2 linked regions of the Drosophila melanogaster genome follow. The gene in region 1 interacts genetically with each later gene. Each region holds a gene or a part of one and is shown in the gene's direction. Other genes may lie near its edges.

Region 1 (7,963 bases):
CAACTCCTGCATTCTGCTAATAACTCTGCGAAGGAATATCACTTCATATAGAACAACTATTAACTGCTTAGTGCATTGCAAAATCTTTTATGTCTAATACCTATCTTAAGTTGTTCATATTTTTGGCTCTCTAAAAAGCGTCCATTTTCATATGTAATTGGGACTTTCGCTTTATTATTCAGGCTTCAGCCTTATAAGTAGTAGTTATAAGCCATGATTCAAATCACAAAATCATTATTTTTCATACATCACATCTTATTTCATGAATAACTTTAGTACTAAGTGTAAATTGCTTTTCTCCCTTAAAGTTTAAGTACCCCAAGATATTGTACCATTCAAAGCTTGTAAATTAACTGTTTGGTAATCTGTATCTGTACTTGTATCTACATCTGTTGTCTGTTTTATCTTCTCTCCCTTAACACAATACCCATCAACTGCTAACTGAACTGTGATCCACAACACGAATCTGTATGTATTTCATGGTTCCGATACACGCACATGAAACACCTATTTCAACAAAAACTTAACACGGTTGAATATTTTTGGAATATTTTTTGTAAATATTTGGGTTTATTTTTGGAATTTGGCTTTTGAATTTTTCTTTTTATAATCTCTGATTCGATTTTGGTTGTGATTATTTCTCATACTCCTCTCCTATTCTTTTCTTTTGTTTATTTTCATATGTGCAAAATATGATTTGATGGGTCCTAACGGGTGCTTGGTTTGTGTGCCACTCTCAACTTGCCACATAAAAAAAAAACAAAAACAAACACACACTAAAATTAATAAAACGCAGGACCACGCATGGGCATTGGTCACTCCATCACCGACCACTCACGTCGCTCCTCAATTTCAGAATCCTCGGCCATCTCAGGCTTTTCCTCGGCTAGCAATAAAACCTACGTGCACGAGGCCTCCACCCTGGTGCTGGAGACCATCGAGAATGGCATAAAGCGGTGAGTTTCGATCGAGTGTTTGCATTTTATGGATTCTGATGGAACTGCTTCATGTGCATGATCTTTAGCCACTTCATTGTGCCTTTGGCCATCGCCCAGAGACCGCGCTGGCGTCGCAAGGGCACCAAGCTGCACATCTACAACGATCACACCTTCATCGCCAAGCATTTGAGCGGGTAAGTTTAAAGTAGTAAGCATTAGTTGCTTTGAATATAATTAACGAATCCTTTCACATTCCAGAAGCGGTCTGCAGTGCTCCATCTGTATGAAGTCCATCCCGCGGAGGCCCGGAAAGCAGGGCTACGAGTGTCGCGACTGCCAGCTGATTAGTCACAAGCAGTGCCACATACGGGCACCACAAGCATGTCCCAATCCCACGGTGCTCTCCATGGAACTGTAAGTGTACCTGAATCTCCGTCAGCTTTTCATCCTTTTCTCTGCCCGATTTTGATATTTGAGGGAATTACAAACTCCTAACCAATACCCAATACTAATTTATTGATTTCGTTTTATTTTTCTCTTTCCACACACACACACAACACAACACACGAATACGCACACCCACCCAATGAAACAAAAAATAAATAAAACAGAACGTCATTTCCGGTACTCACAGAGAGAGATATAAACCTAGTTAACTAAATCCTTATTTTGTGACCAATCCAACTATCTGAATACTTATTCTTTTGTAAACAACTTGAATCCGCCAAATGCAGTTTGATATTTACCAAGAGCAATTTTTGATTTACTCACTCCACTGAATTGGCGTCAGAAATGGAAAATTCGGCTTCGTTTTCCGGCTTCCGCTAGCATCCTCCCATACCCAATCGCACTGTCACCTCGCTTGGCCACGCTGTTTCATTATGTGTAATATAACTTCTGGGCACTAATTCGAGCTCTTTTTCTCATCGCATCCCTCACACGAAATACAACCAAACCACCCACACGGACACAGGATGGCCAGTGAGGAGTAGAAAGGTCTCAGCCACAGCACAGCATCTTTAAAGCCAGTTAAATACCATTCTTAAGTGCTATCCAAGCGATGTGCGAGTTCATTCTGACGCCATATATATACATATATATAGTTAAAAAAGAACCTACACAATCCTCCTTCGATTTGACCAAACAAAAAATAGAAAAAACTCCAGGGTTCTAGATCCGTTCTGCTGCAGTTTTGTGTGGTTCGCGCATTTTCCAGTTGACCCTTTGGCAGCTGGAAAATCGGGGTAAGCTGGCAACGCATTCGCATGAAATTCCTCGTTCTGCTCCACTGTGTTGTGTACTAAATTAACACTCTCGTTCGGTTTTGATCGCACTGCGATCCATACTAATGCAATTCCTTCTGAGGATTGTTCAGTTAATTCGTTCAGATTCGGCCTAATACTGTTTGAAGCTTGTTTTCCAATTGTTAACCATTGATATTGCACTTGTCTAGATATATCTAACGTTCGTTTTTCTCTTATTTTCACAGAACTAAACTCAATTCAGCGGCGGCAGATCGCAGCATACGGAAGCTGTGAATATGGGGAATACCCTGGAATCCAAGCCAGACAGCCCCAAGCCGAGAAACCTTAATCGAAATAATACCCTAGTTACATAGAAGTGAAGGAAGGAGCTGTGCTAACCATCTTCTTCTGCTATGGAACATCTCGATACATTTTACGTTATTTATTTATACACTCACGCGAACACACACATGTGCAATAAGTTCTTTGGATTCGTTTTTAACCCATTTCTCCGTGTCAACGTGCTCGAGCCCTTTGATATTTTGTATTTTCTACAAACACGAATAATAATTGTACAAAATAAAAGTGAATTAGGGTTTTTTTTTTAAATTAAACAACAAATTCGGTGAATCAATAAAGTTGTGATCACTAATAATACCGGATATTTTTCGGAAAGCAGTTGGCAGTAGTTTGCGTGTAGATATTAAACATTTCACTTGTTTCGAGTTTAGGATCCAATTGTTGTTGTTGGGAACGGCGGTCTGCACAAAGGAGTTTTCCCAGTTTGTGGCTGATTTAGGTCTTAGTAACGTAGGAAAGATTAAGGGGAAGTTCCTATAAAACATTGCTGATTGGCAATACAGTGACAAATCATTTGTATGACATTCTAATTAATAACTAAAGAAACATTGAAGTAGATTTGAGAGCTTTAACTAATGTATTCCTTTAACGCTGCTACTAAATGTACTTTCATGTGGATTCAATGATTCATTTTATTGAATTTCGAATGTCCTTCAGCAGTTTAAAAATTTCCCCTGTCTGGCCACCCCTTCTGGCCAACTAATATCGATATCTTCGAAACGACAGCCCGACAGAGTTGCCACCGCCGAACGACCAGCGCTGCTATCGATAGGCCCGCGGGCAGAGTGCCATCGCTAGCGAGGGGTGAGAGGAACAACAACATTTGTGGGCTGCGCGTTGACGAAGTGCATGTGAAATTTTTCGTGTTCGTAGGACAATTGTTAATTATCCACTGGCCGAATTTGCCCCGCAATCACGTGTCGGTGTAATATGTGAACGGTTTGTGGTGCTCACCTAGCGCTTAGCGAAAATCGGAATAAAATTATAAAAAAAAAATAATAAACGTAGTATTTACACCAGCAACAACAACACCACGAACGGGCGACAAAGCGACACGCCTCGCGTTGTTGTTTTTGTTGTCGCGTGTTTTTTTACTCGGCAGCACAGCAACTATTTATTTATTTAGGCAATTTCGCTGGCAAAAACAAAAGTGGCCTTCATAAATTCTAATAAAAAGTAATTAAAGTGCAAATGCATTGAGAAGCAAGGAAGAGGAGACGAGAAGATAAAGAATATATGCAGTGGAAGAGAGAGAGCGCGAACGAGAGAGGGGATTACAAAAAACGAGACATCGTTCACTTGCCCTCTCGCTCCCACCCCCGCGCTTTCTCCACCTTCTTCTCCACCCTGGCCTTTATCAAATTTGTTGTTGCTGCTTTATTTGCTGATTTTTGTTTTCATCGCTTTTTTTTTTATTCTGCGTCATAATTCGCGATTCTCTAGTTTCGTGTGTGTATCAATTCAATTCTCTGATCAGAATCTGATTCATATGAAATAAATGTATATGTTTAATACATAATATACAAAAGTCCAGTTAACCTTACGTAATTGTGTGTATTTCAAAGCGTCCAAAATGCATCTCGATCCACAAAAGTATCTAAATTTCGCCTGCTACGTGTGCTAATCAGTCAAACCCAAAAAACGAATAAAGCAGCGTCAAGAGTAAGAGTGTCAATCAAATATTAAGAGTATACCCACCCAGTAAAGAGAGGTCCAGCCAAAAGGACTCGATCGCCTCGAACCGAAAGCGGAAGCGGAAGCGGAAACGGCAACGGCATACGGATACGGAAGCTGCCAAGATGGCCGCCGCCCACAGTCACCACAATGCCAATATGCTCAGCTCGGACATCTCTCGCCGAAATCCGCAGGACGAGTACGAACTCATCCAAAAGATTGGCTCGGGAACCTACGGCGACGTCTATAAGGTGAGTCGAAATAGAAGCCTTTAGCTGTAGTACAAAGTGGTATTAGGAAGGGAAAGGCAAAAACTTCTAAATAAAAACAACAGCAAACAAAAGGCAAAGAAATTGCAAAGTGTGCTCTTTGGATTTAGAATGTTTCCCCAAAAATCCGTAAGTTTTTATAGTTTCCCTCACTGCAATTTTTGCATTCCGTCTGCACAGGAAAAAATTATCCAACAGTTCTCAAATTCGATTAATTCACTTTGAATTGTATCAGGAAGTTTTCTGTTCAATAAAGAGACATCACACATTATGTAACACTATTGCCTCATTGGATTGCAAAACCTAGGAATAATGTTCTTATTGGATAATTTTTGGACACATAATCAAGAATAAATTTTAAAGTTGAATGTGTTCCATATGGTAAAACTAGTTCTAGTCCGTTATGCATTTATAGAAAATGAATTTAGTTACATATCTCAATGTGGAGTATCATTATTGCTCACCACGCCACATAAATAATAAAATTGTATGTGCGTTAAAATGTAGAACGCATTAAATCATAAAGGAGGAATGTTTTTTTGCTCCAGTGCAAGAGTGCATGTACCCCCTCGATCTCCCCACCGCCACCCACTTGCAGACCCTCATTTGTACATCTGTTTGCCACAGCATGTTTCTCATTCCTTCACTACCCCCACCCCCCCTTCACTCCACATCCCTTTCAGCACCCCCTTCCCCCAAACCCCTCGCCCCGCCACAAACAAAAATATGCGCAATTTTAGTTTTCCATCTTCTTCTCTGTTGGATCGTTCTTTTTATACCATCCAACTTCCATGTTTACTCTTGCTGCCCGTCGAAGGGAAGTATGACAAATGCCCCGAAACGCCAGAGAAGTTGCCCTTGGGCGGGGGGGCGTGGCACGTTGCAATTGTTGTTGCCAGGGGCGGGATTATATGGGAATATATCGGGGGAGATATTATGGTATTTCTCATGTGCAGACCAAGGGTTAAGTTCCTCATTTTCCATATGGAATGCCTTTGAATTCGAGGGATTTCCCCAATTCGATTTATTGCATTCTAGTTGGCAACCCAAAATCTATAAATCATCAGCTTTTCGAACGTTTTCCATTCGATTAATTTTGACGAAATTGAAATTGATTAAATTTCACATTGCTCATAAAAGATGGGAATTCAATTAGTTTGTGCACTTTTGAAATTCGATATTAAGTATATCGTAATTTATAGATTTTAATTTGTAGAAAATGAGAGAATTGTTAATTAATTTGCTTTGGCATATTGATAACTTGGTTTGACAGCGCACAATGAAATCAATATGTCTATAATGTGCACCACAATTCTGCACGACATTTGAATGGTTTTTGACTCGCTTAATTTGAATGCTTAGGTTTTAAACAATATGTGCAGTTTTTTGGTTGGCTTTTGTTAATAACGTTTTATGTTGACTAAAGTCTTGTTTTTCTGTAAACTCAGGCAATCATTATTAGTCATCAAAGCGTAAGACTGTTGAGATTATGCTTATTCTTGCTCATCAGACTGATATTGGGACTTGATTCATTTTGCCTCACTTCAATTTATTCGATAAGCAGCCACGCGCTTGCATTGATTATTCGGATTAGTTTCGAATGTGTTATTTATTTATTTATTTATGTTTGCCCACATCTGGTTTTGTGGCCCTCTACTCATTTTGCCATCTGATTGTGTCTCGTTTTTGTTTTTTAGAGCCCGTTCCGTTCTGCTTTCTGTATCTTTTCTCCATGTTCCATCCATGAGATGCGTCATGCCATGAGTCCAAAGCCCATGGTTTCGGTTTCAATCCACCATGCAATTTACACTCTTTCGTTCCCCCTGCTTTTTACTTCGGTTTTTTTTTTATTTATTTTCACACCGAGGTATTTGGTTGTCAAGGGAATTTATGATGCCACACATCTAGAAAGGAGACGATGGCATTTCGATTCTGTTTACACAAGCGACAAGTTCGCCAAATGAAAACAATCGGTTTTGGGGATAATTTGCAGTTTGGTTTTCCGCATAAGTTTTTGGCTAAACCATTATTACACATCGAGCACTTGAAGTGCAGGGCAATCGAAAAGCTCGCTTTTCCTCTCATTTTTTTCGCAACTCGTTTCGCGATATCAATTTACAATAGAAATAATAACAGCGAAATGAACAACAATGCGCCCTGTTGACAGGCTATTACGAATGGAATTGGGTTTCTACTGCTCCAATTTGTTTGCTCCACCTCCTCCCATATGCCACACCCCCTTCTAACCCCACAACACACTCATTGATTCTTATTAGTGGCACAATGATCCAAAAATTTAGTGCAACGCCGCAAATAAATGTTCAGCTGGAGAAAATGGGTGGAGCTTTAAAAATTTATGTGATTCAGTCTTGCTGGACTGTTGACATGCAAATTTAGATGTTCAATTTAACGAATGCAGATGATAAATGAAATGTACATATTTATATTTTCAGTGAGATTTAAAGACTAAAGTATAATTTTTTGACTAGTGACTCAGTTTAATATTACGTGCTTGTTTCGAGTTTATTTAACTGTGCTCTTTTTTTTTCCATATTTCACCCTTATTCAATATTCTTAAAAAATATTTATTTTAACTTCTAGTTATTTTATGCATGTTTATATATGCACTATATAAAAAGTTATTGCAATGTTTTTAATTTGTACGAGTATTCCTCTGGAGAAAAACTTGGAGTATAAATGGCACCTGACATGGCGGGTGGGAAAACTCAAGACGGGAAAAACTTTGACTCAAGAGGAAGGTGCTGCTGTTGCACCGGGTTTTCATTACCGGAAATTCGAGAGCGAAACGCAAGTGGGTAAAAGAAAATAACAGAAATATGAAAATAGTGAACTCTGTGCTTTTCACGGAGCACAAAAGGAAAAGTGCCAGGTTACCTAGCGTTATGCAATGAAAACTGGCACAAATACTAGTGCATAGGCGCATACATATTTTATGCGTGTGCTTTCGTTTGTGTGTGTGTGTGATTGCCTTTGCCAGGCACTTGACTTCGCCATCCATTGTAGTTGTTGTTGCCACACTTTAACAATCATCCTCGTCATTGTTGTTGCTGCTGGCTCTTTATTTTGTTTTTGCCCTGTTGTTGTTATTGTTGTGCACGCAACACGCATGAAAACATGAAAAAATTGGCGCAAAGCTCTCATCTAGAGTGGGTGGTGGTTGTGTTTTTTTTTTATTTTTTAGGTTGGAGGAGGGATGTAGGAAGGTTTTGAGAAAATTACTAGAGAAAAGAACGAAGTGAAGTGAATTTGTAGCAGCAAAGTGATGGCAAGGCAAGGGGGTGTGGCTAGGGACGGGAGGCGGTGGGCGCTTAAGGAGGTCACGTAGGCAACGCATGTGTGTGTGTGTGTGTGTGTGTTGGTAGTGGGCGTGGCTCAATGCGTTTTGTCTGTCTGACAGTATGTGTTTATGTTTGCTGATTTGCTGCTTGTTTGGTTTCGGTTTTCACACAAATTGCAA
Region 2 (8,064 bases), on another chromosome or scaffold:
GCTCTCTCTTCCTCTCACTCGCTGTTTTTAGTTAATATAATTCTTCTACTTTTATTTTTTTTTTGCCGCCAAACGCGCGAGGCGACTTTTCGATGCCAACTGAGCGTTCTCAACGCGTGTCCTTAGCTTTTAAGCAGTCGCTGTCGCGGTCGCCGTTGCTGCCGGCGTCGCAGTCGACGTAGTCGCCAGCAGCACTAACAACAAATTCAACCAAGTATTGCCAATGGAAGTGACACCCCAGAGGTGTATATTAAATTAATGCCAACTTGGTTACAGAGCCCCAAAACGAATAAAATAATATGGGGCCAGATGTCGCTCCCAGTTCTCTGGGCGAATTATGGATGGTCAAGCATTAAAGTTCAGCAACATCGCAGCGGAGACTTCCTCGGGAGATTTGGAGCAGATAGTTGAGTTGGGCCAATGCCATATGAAGTGGTCACAATCTCAAGAACACACAGGCGAGACAGGAGAATGAACGATTTCAATTCCCTTAACAGTATCCTTGAATTTTTATTGTTCTACTGAAGTTGTAGAAAATTGCATTGCTAGTTTAGTTTTTCAGTTAGTTTTTCCAAATTATTTTTAGTGGAAAATGTAGTACTTCCCGTTTCCAAGGATATCTGTAAGTTAGCCACCAATGGACGGTGCAGAATGGACAGACTATTTACCTGGCAGGTGGGTTCGATCTTCTGTTACCTTAACTCCAAGTCATTACTATGGCGGTACTACAGGTGCCGCTAATTTGGCACGTTCCACACACGAAGCGGTCTAATCGCGGTTCTGTTTTTTTTTTTCGGCTGTCTGCCCCAGCCAGTGTGACGCTGCAAGCCAATCATGAATGGCCAAAGCACCCAGCCCCTCAATCCCAGAGGAACCCAGAATCAAGAAAACCGGATAACCAAGCCAGCAAGCGATCCAGTGGCCATTGGCGTTGACATTGGCATTATCAGTGCGTGATCATCGTGTCATTGTCAATGGGCTTCGGACAGAAATATTAATTACCACCCAGTCCGATAAGTTGGGAGATTATAAAGCACTACCCCCGTCAAAAACCCCATCCACAGGCACAGCCCCCATCCAAAACAAAAGAAAAACACCCACATTTGTGTAATTACTTTGTGACACTTTTTTTTTTGGCCACTCGATGCGGCAGGTAATCGCGGAAATTGCGTTGCCCATTCGATTTCGCTGATTGATAGGATACCTGTCCACTGTCCACAAATTCTCAACCGATCATATATGGGCGGCTTGGTGGAATCTCGCCCGAAATTCGGTGGGGAGTGTGTGGATTCCCCCGCCCTTTAACGTAACCAAGCCACCCTCACCCTACGAACAAAGAAAAGCCATCATTTGATCGATTTTCGTTAGCTGATTGCCATCCTAGCTCACAAAAATAGATTGAAAGTTTCCAAACACGCGCTTTAAGCTCCAAAAAAAGAAATGGGCGCCCAACAGGTGGCGTGAATACACGGCGAGAAAAGTGGCGTGCTTTCAAGTTATCAACTAATTTAATTGGCCCAATAAATAAATAGCTAAACATGTTTACATAAAGATAATTTTTATGAGCTCAGGGCATCTGTCGTAAATGCTTAAATTACCATGCACATGCTTACTAGCATTTTATTATTTTCCCAGGCCAAGTCAATAAGTTAAGTTGATAGTAGCAGTAAGCAGTGATAAGAGGTTTTCAGTTAAAAAGTGCAAATGCACTAAAAGTCTAAAAATGAAAGGTGGCTTATAGAAAATTTAATTACTTTTCAGGCGCTTGATTTTTTCCAGTGCAGTAGCGTGTGTTCCTACCACAAATCAAAGTTAGGCACTTCCAATGTTCCGGCTCCTGCTCCCATACATAAATTCCCAAATGGACAACTACTCCCAGCTACCGGTTACCTGGAACTTTAGTTTTGGCGCAAAACTTTTGGCATGTGCGTTTCAGCTATTCCTTTTTTCACTATTGACATTTGCGGATTGTGGCTCCTTGGGCGCCATATGGCAGCCAAAAAGCAACGAGGAGAACCTCGATAAGCACAAATTTTAACCGAAACTCTTAGGAACAAAAACTGAGTGACCACACGAAACGAATTCAGGGGTGTTAATTATTTATTGCAATTTTAAGTTGTGTGTAAGTTTCTCGTTTTATTCTTGGACAGGATATTCAAAATGCTTCCCTTGCCAACGCTTATTCCTTTTGCGTGTTTGGCGTGCGACTAAACCATTTTTTAATCGCTTAGTTTGCCGGGCCGGTTAAAACAGAGCTTTTTGAGGCAGAAAGCTCGATTGGGCGAAGTGAACACTTGTTGAGTGGCAATGCGCTGATTTAGGCACCTGCAAATCTAACTAAATTTATTATAAAATAGTGTTAATAAAGCTTCCTGAAATGAGTAATCAACCAAGCACTTACAACTGATGCCATCGAAGATGCTATTTAAAAATACCGCCAACTGGCGGTGGAAACGGGTTTTTTTTGGCTGCCCCATGTGTTAGGGCTGCCAGCTGAGCTGATAGCCTTGCCACCTTGCGCGACTAGCACACTTGTCAATTTGTTTTTCTTTCGTGTTTATTATTTCCTAGATTTCTTTTGAGCTGGCATTTCGTTCTGTTTTTCACGTTTTAACCCCGTTTTTCGGTAAACCTCGTTTCTAATCTCGTGACAAGTTTTTCCACCGCCCGGAAAGATGCTAAGCCAATTTTACTGCTTGTTTTTGTTGCTCCTCCACTTCTTCGTGGGCGTGACGTTGTCTGAAGAGGGGGAGTGCCGCCGCCTTAATCGCGCAGATATCGAGGGCAGACTGTCCACAAAGACGCCCTACAGAGCGATCGCAAATTATGACGAAACGCCACCGAAATACGCCGGTTTGTATTTTTGTTGTTTTCTGTGTAACGCACCCACAGTAGGCACCCGCTTAGAAATACAAACATGTGTTGTGCCATGTGACAGTTAACAGCGCTCGCTTAATACAGTGAATTCATAATCATGAAAGCATATGGATTCTTTATTGATCATAAAACAGAGAATCGCTTTAGATTTGTTATTATACTATTACTAGTTTATTATTACCGATGCCTACTGCTAGCAAATGGCAATGGAACAGCTGATTTTTCTCTTTTAACCGTTTCACCCGACAAGGCTGCCATCCGACGCGAATTTGGACCATCATCCGACACGGAACTAGAAATCCTAGCGAATCCGTTATCCTTCAGGCGCAAAATCGACTATCAGAGATAAAGAAACGCATTCTGGATCAGACGAAGCCGCCGATCTGCACCGCTGAATTGGAAAAGCTGCGCCAATGGCACTGGATGCATCTGAATGCCACTGAAGATGAGAAATTACTGGTGGCCGAGGGTGAGGATGAGCTGATTGAGCTGGCGGAACGGATGCAGCGGCGATTTCCGGATCTACTTCCGGAGTTGTACAATCCGGAGTGGTACTACTTCAAGTATACTGCGACCCAGAGAACGCTGAAAAGTGCGGAAAGCTTCGCTACGGGTTTGTTCGGCCGTCATCGCATCCATACTGTACGATATCCGCCGCCTTTGCACGAGGATCCTGTTTTGCGGGTGAGCAGTCCTTTAGTTTTTTCTGTCAATGTAACCAAAACAAACTTTTGAATTACGCGCTACAAATGAGCTTGTAATGATCTGGCAACGCCATTCATTACAGCTAGGCCATTTCGCTGTTAGTTTATTATCGATATCAATGTTGTAAACCGCTTGCCAGCGTGCAATCGAAAAAATCATCGATTTTTGTTCCAGCTCTATTTTCTGCGCAATTCTTTTCGTATAATATAATTCGATTAAACATAAATAAATAAACCCAAGCGAAAGTAAATAAACCTGTTAATGCGCACCATCTTCCGTCGGAGATCGCTCGCTATAGTTGTACGGTTTTTATTTTGTCCCGGCATCGACCTAATCAGCCCAGGCGGCGTGTTTTCCCCGAGTTCTTTTTACCCGTTTTCGGGAAATGGTCCGCGATCCGTAGGCGGAAAACGTGGAGAAGAGGAACGTGGAAAGAAAAGCAGAAAAGCGCGGAGCGGAGCTGAGGAGGCGCTGGCGGTGGTGGAGGTGCGGAAAGTGCGAAAAGTGTTTGGGGTTATGTGCTAGAGTCCCCTCGGGGGGATTTTTAGCTGATTGAATCCGCGACCGAGACGTAATCGCTCCGGGAAATCGCTCGCATTGAGCTGCACCCTCTCCTCGGCAAACGGAAAAAGAAAAAAAGCAATACAGCGAGAAACGAGAGAAACAAAAAGCACGCAGAACATGACAAGTGCCGTTCGCGCTAAGTCCGCCGCTGCCGCAGTCGGCGTCGCAGTCGACGAAAGCAGCGGCAGCAGCAACGGCAGCGTCGCGGATCAAGAGGTGGCCTCCAGCAAGGAGGCCGTCCTGAGCGTCCTAATCCGCAAGAGATACGAGAAATATGTATTCGCCCCGTGGGACGATCCGATAATCTTGATAATGGAGCAACTGGAGCACATCGAGCACTGTCGATCCGCCGCCTTGGGGAACCAGGTGGCCATCGGCCGGGACCCATCTCAGGACGACTCTCTGAACGACCTGGGTAAGGTGATTAGCAACATGAGGCAGGACCAATCACTGGTACCAATCGTGAAGCACATCGAGCAAATATCCGACATTCAGGCCTCCAACGGCCAGGAACTGGCCTCCCTCGGTTCTTTGAGGGAGCTAATCCGGACTATCAGAAAGGAATGGCCCCGGGACGACTCTATCAAACTGCGGTTGAAGGAAATACAGATCCTGGGCATGCCGCCCGCTCGGAGCTTATGCTTCGGCGAGCGTATCCGCGACGACAGGTGCCCGCTCTCCCTGCAGACTAAAAGGCACAAGGAGCGCATCCAGGCCATGATGTACGAGAGACAGCCGTGGCGCATCCGCGAGCGCATGAAGACGGCAAGTGTGGCCCTGGTTCTGTGCCTCAACATCGGCGTGGATCCGCCGGACGTGGTCAAGATCCAACCCTGCTCACGGCTAGAGTGCTGGATAGATCCCAGCTCGGTGTCCCCGCCAAAGGCCATGGAACTCATTGGAAGCAACCTGCAGATGCAGTACGAACGCTGGCAGCCAAGGGCCCGGTACAAGAAGTGCAACGATCCCACCGTGGATGACGTTAAGAAGCTCTGCACCTCCCTACGCCGGAACGCCAAGGGGGAGCGCATACTCTTCCACTACAACGGACACGGAGTGCCCAAGCCCACAGCCAACGGGGAGATCTGGGTGTTCAACAAGACCTTCACGCAGTACATCCCCCTGAGCATATTCGAGCTTATCACTTGGATGTCAGCGCCCTCCATCTACGTGTATGACTGCTCCAACGCCGGGATCATCATCAATTCGTTTCAGCCATACGCTAAACAGCACGAGGAAGAACTAGGGAAGGCGCTGGCCGCCGCCCAGCAGAGGGGTGGTGTCCAACAGTTAGTGGGCGGCTCTGGTGGTGCCGCCAACGTAGCCGCCAACCAGGTGCAGTTAACCAACCAGATGGTCAGTTACAAGAACTGTATACACCTGGCTGCCTGTGCTGCAAACGAGATTCTTCCGATGAATGCACAGCTGCCGGCGGATCTTTTCACCAGCTGTCTGACAACACCCATTAACATAGCGCTCAAGTGGTACGCCATGCAAGAAAAGCTGGGCATGGTACCGCGTATTCAGAGCGAACTGATCGACAAGATTCCAGGTAAGGTTATACCTTTACTCACCCAGGGAATGCTGTTAACCATTAAATTCTATCGCAGGCAAGGTCAACGACCGGCGCACTATGATGGGTGAGCTTAACTGGATCTTCACCGCCATTACGGACACGATAGCATGGAACACACTTCCTCGCGAGCTCTTTCAGCGCCTGTTTCGCCAGGATCTGCTGGTGGCCAGCTTGTTCCGCAATTTCCTGTTGGCCGAGCGCATTCTGCGAAGCCACGACTGCACACCAGTTTCCCTGCCTGCCCTGCCGCCTTGTTATCGCCATCCGATGTGGAAGGCCTGGGATCTGGTGGTAGATTTGGCTCTACAGCAGCTGCCGGAGATTCTCGATCACAATGCGCCGTACCGCCAGCTGCCATTCTTCGAGCACCAGCTCACGGCCTTCCAGGTTTGGCTGGACAGCGAATCGGAGTCGAGAACGCCACCGGAACAGCTGCCCATTGTGCTGCAGGTCCTACTGTCGCAGGTGCACCGTCTGAGGGCCTTGGAGCTGCTGGCTCGCTTTCTGGATCTTGGTCCGTGGGCCGTTAATCTCGCCCTGGGCGTGGGCATCTTTCCATACGTGCTTAAACTGCTGCAGAGTTCTACGCGCGAACTGCGACCCGTTTTGGTGTTCATTTGGGCCAAGATCCTGGCCGTGGATCCCAGCTGCCAGGTGGATCTGGTCAAGGAATACAAGTACTTCCTCTCCGTGCTGCAGGACACCTCCGTTTCCAAGGAGCACCGTACACTGTCCGCCTTTGTATTGTCCTCCATAGTGCACAACTTCCTGCTGGGACAGACGAGCGCGCTTCAAGGTCCCCTACTGTCTATTTGCCTTGAGCAGTTGAACGACGGAAGTTGGCTGCTGCGCCAGTGGCTAGCCATCTGTCTGGGCATGCTGTGGCAGAACTTTGAGAAGGCGCGTTGGTCGGGAGCACGCGACCTGGCGCACGAGAAGCTGTACGTACTGCTGCGGGACTCGATACCGGAAGTGAGAGCCGCTGCCGTCTTCGCCTTAGGCACATTTATTAGCTCCGTGACGGATCGTAGCGAGGAACAGGCCAATAATATCGATCGCATCATTGCCATTACCATGCTCGAAACCGTCGGCGAGGATATGTCGCCGCTGGTCCGCATGGAGCTGGCCGCCGCCCTGCAATGGATGGTGGTGCTCTTCGAGTCACAGTTCGTGGCAGTATATCTAACTGAACACATGCGCGGTCACGTCTCCGCCGCCTCGTTCGTGATGTGCCCCGATCCCCGGGATCTGACGTCTTCCACGCACAGCCTGGAGCGTCATGTGACCATTCGCAGGGGAGCCAGCTCCAGCTCCATATCCAACATGGGTGGTGCGTCAATAAGCTCGGGAACAGGATCATCCAGCAACCCTTTGGGTCGCTCGAAGAGTGGTTCTGGCAGTTCGGGTGGAAGAGGAGCAGCCGGAGCTGCGGGTGGTACTAACAGCATACCCTTTCAGTCAATCTTTACCAAGCTCTGGCTGGGCATCTGCAATCTGGCCCAGGATCCGTTTCCTCGTGTAGCGGCCATTGCCCAGGAGATTGTTGAACATGTGAGGGACACGGCACTGTGTCCCATCATGGCCGCAAAGGAAGCCACCATGGCCAATGCCTCGGAGAAATGCAGCAGTCTAAGTGTTAGCCTCCCGCCCAGCCCAAATACAAGAGTTAATTACTTGGGCGGTGGCGGTGCACCAGGAGGAGCTGGCGCGACTGCAGAATCACCGCCCGTCGGAGCAGCTGCCTCGGGCGCCAGTCACTGGGCACAAAAGCTACGACTATCGGGCAGTGGAGCCTGCATGGGTGCTGGAGATCCTCAAACCATTCTGCAGCGCAAGCTGCGCACCAGCTCCATTAACGATGAGACGGACAGCGGACCAGGGTACTCCAGAGGAGTTGCGGGTGCCGGAACTGGTCTGGGACTGCCCAGTGGACCGAGGGAGAGCACCCATTCGGCGCGGAGCAGCGGCAGCGAGAGCAATCATTACCTGGAGCCAGGACACAGCCTCACGCCCATTGTCCTGACCGAATTCATACCCTGGGCCATTTCCTATTTCACACGGCCCGGCAAGGAGCGCTACAGCAGCGCCGAGGGATCGGCAGAGGAGGGGCGCCAGCGCTTCCCAGTGGACCGAAACTCAGCGGAGCTGCGACGCAGGAGGTTGCGCTTCCTGAGGAACGATTTCGTACGCCGACATGCCGGCCGAAAGCACCAGGAGCTGATCGATCCGTACGGCTTCGATGTGTGCGTATGGAACCGGAAGACACAGTTCACGCCTTCCATCGTGAAGCTGCTGCCTTACGAGCCGCAGATTGCAGTGGCCTACAGGGAGAAGGTTCTGGT

The links. Genes that interact genetically often act in the same process or in processes that back each other up.
Region 2: of hppy (region 1) and raptor, changing one enhances a phenotype caused by changing the other (phenotypic enhancement), as found in Drosophila melanogaster (one study listed by BioGRID).

Annotation. Positions count from the first base shown.
Region 1 is NT_033778.4:19,175,392-19,183,354, forward strand, and holds the start of hppy (happyhour), read left to right. Parts: upstream 1-3,346; 5' UTR 3,347-3,481; intron 3,482-4,107; 5' UTR 4,108-4,341; coding exon 4,342-4,467; intron 4,468-7,963. Other genes in the region: CG10737 (uncharacterized protein), read left to right, coding at 797-956, 1,025-1,132, 1,197-1,352, 1,550-1,598.
Region 2 is NC_004354.4:6,085,906-6,093,969, reverse strand, and holds the start of raptor (raptor), read left to right. Parts: upstream 1-3,768; 5' UTR 3,769-4,263; coding exon 4,264-5,698; intron 5,699-5,756; coding exon 5,757-8,064. Other genes in the region: Mipp2 (multiple inositol polyphosphate phosphatase 2), read left to right, coding at 2,676-2,853, 3,128-3,561.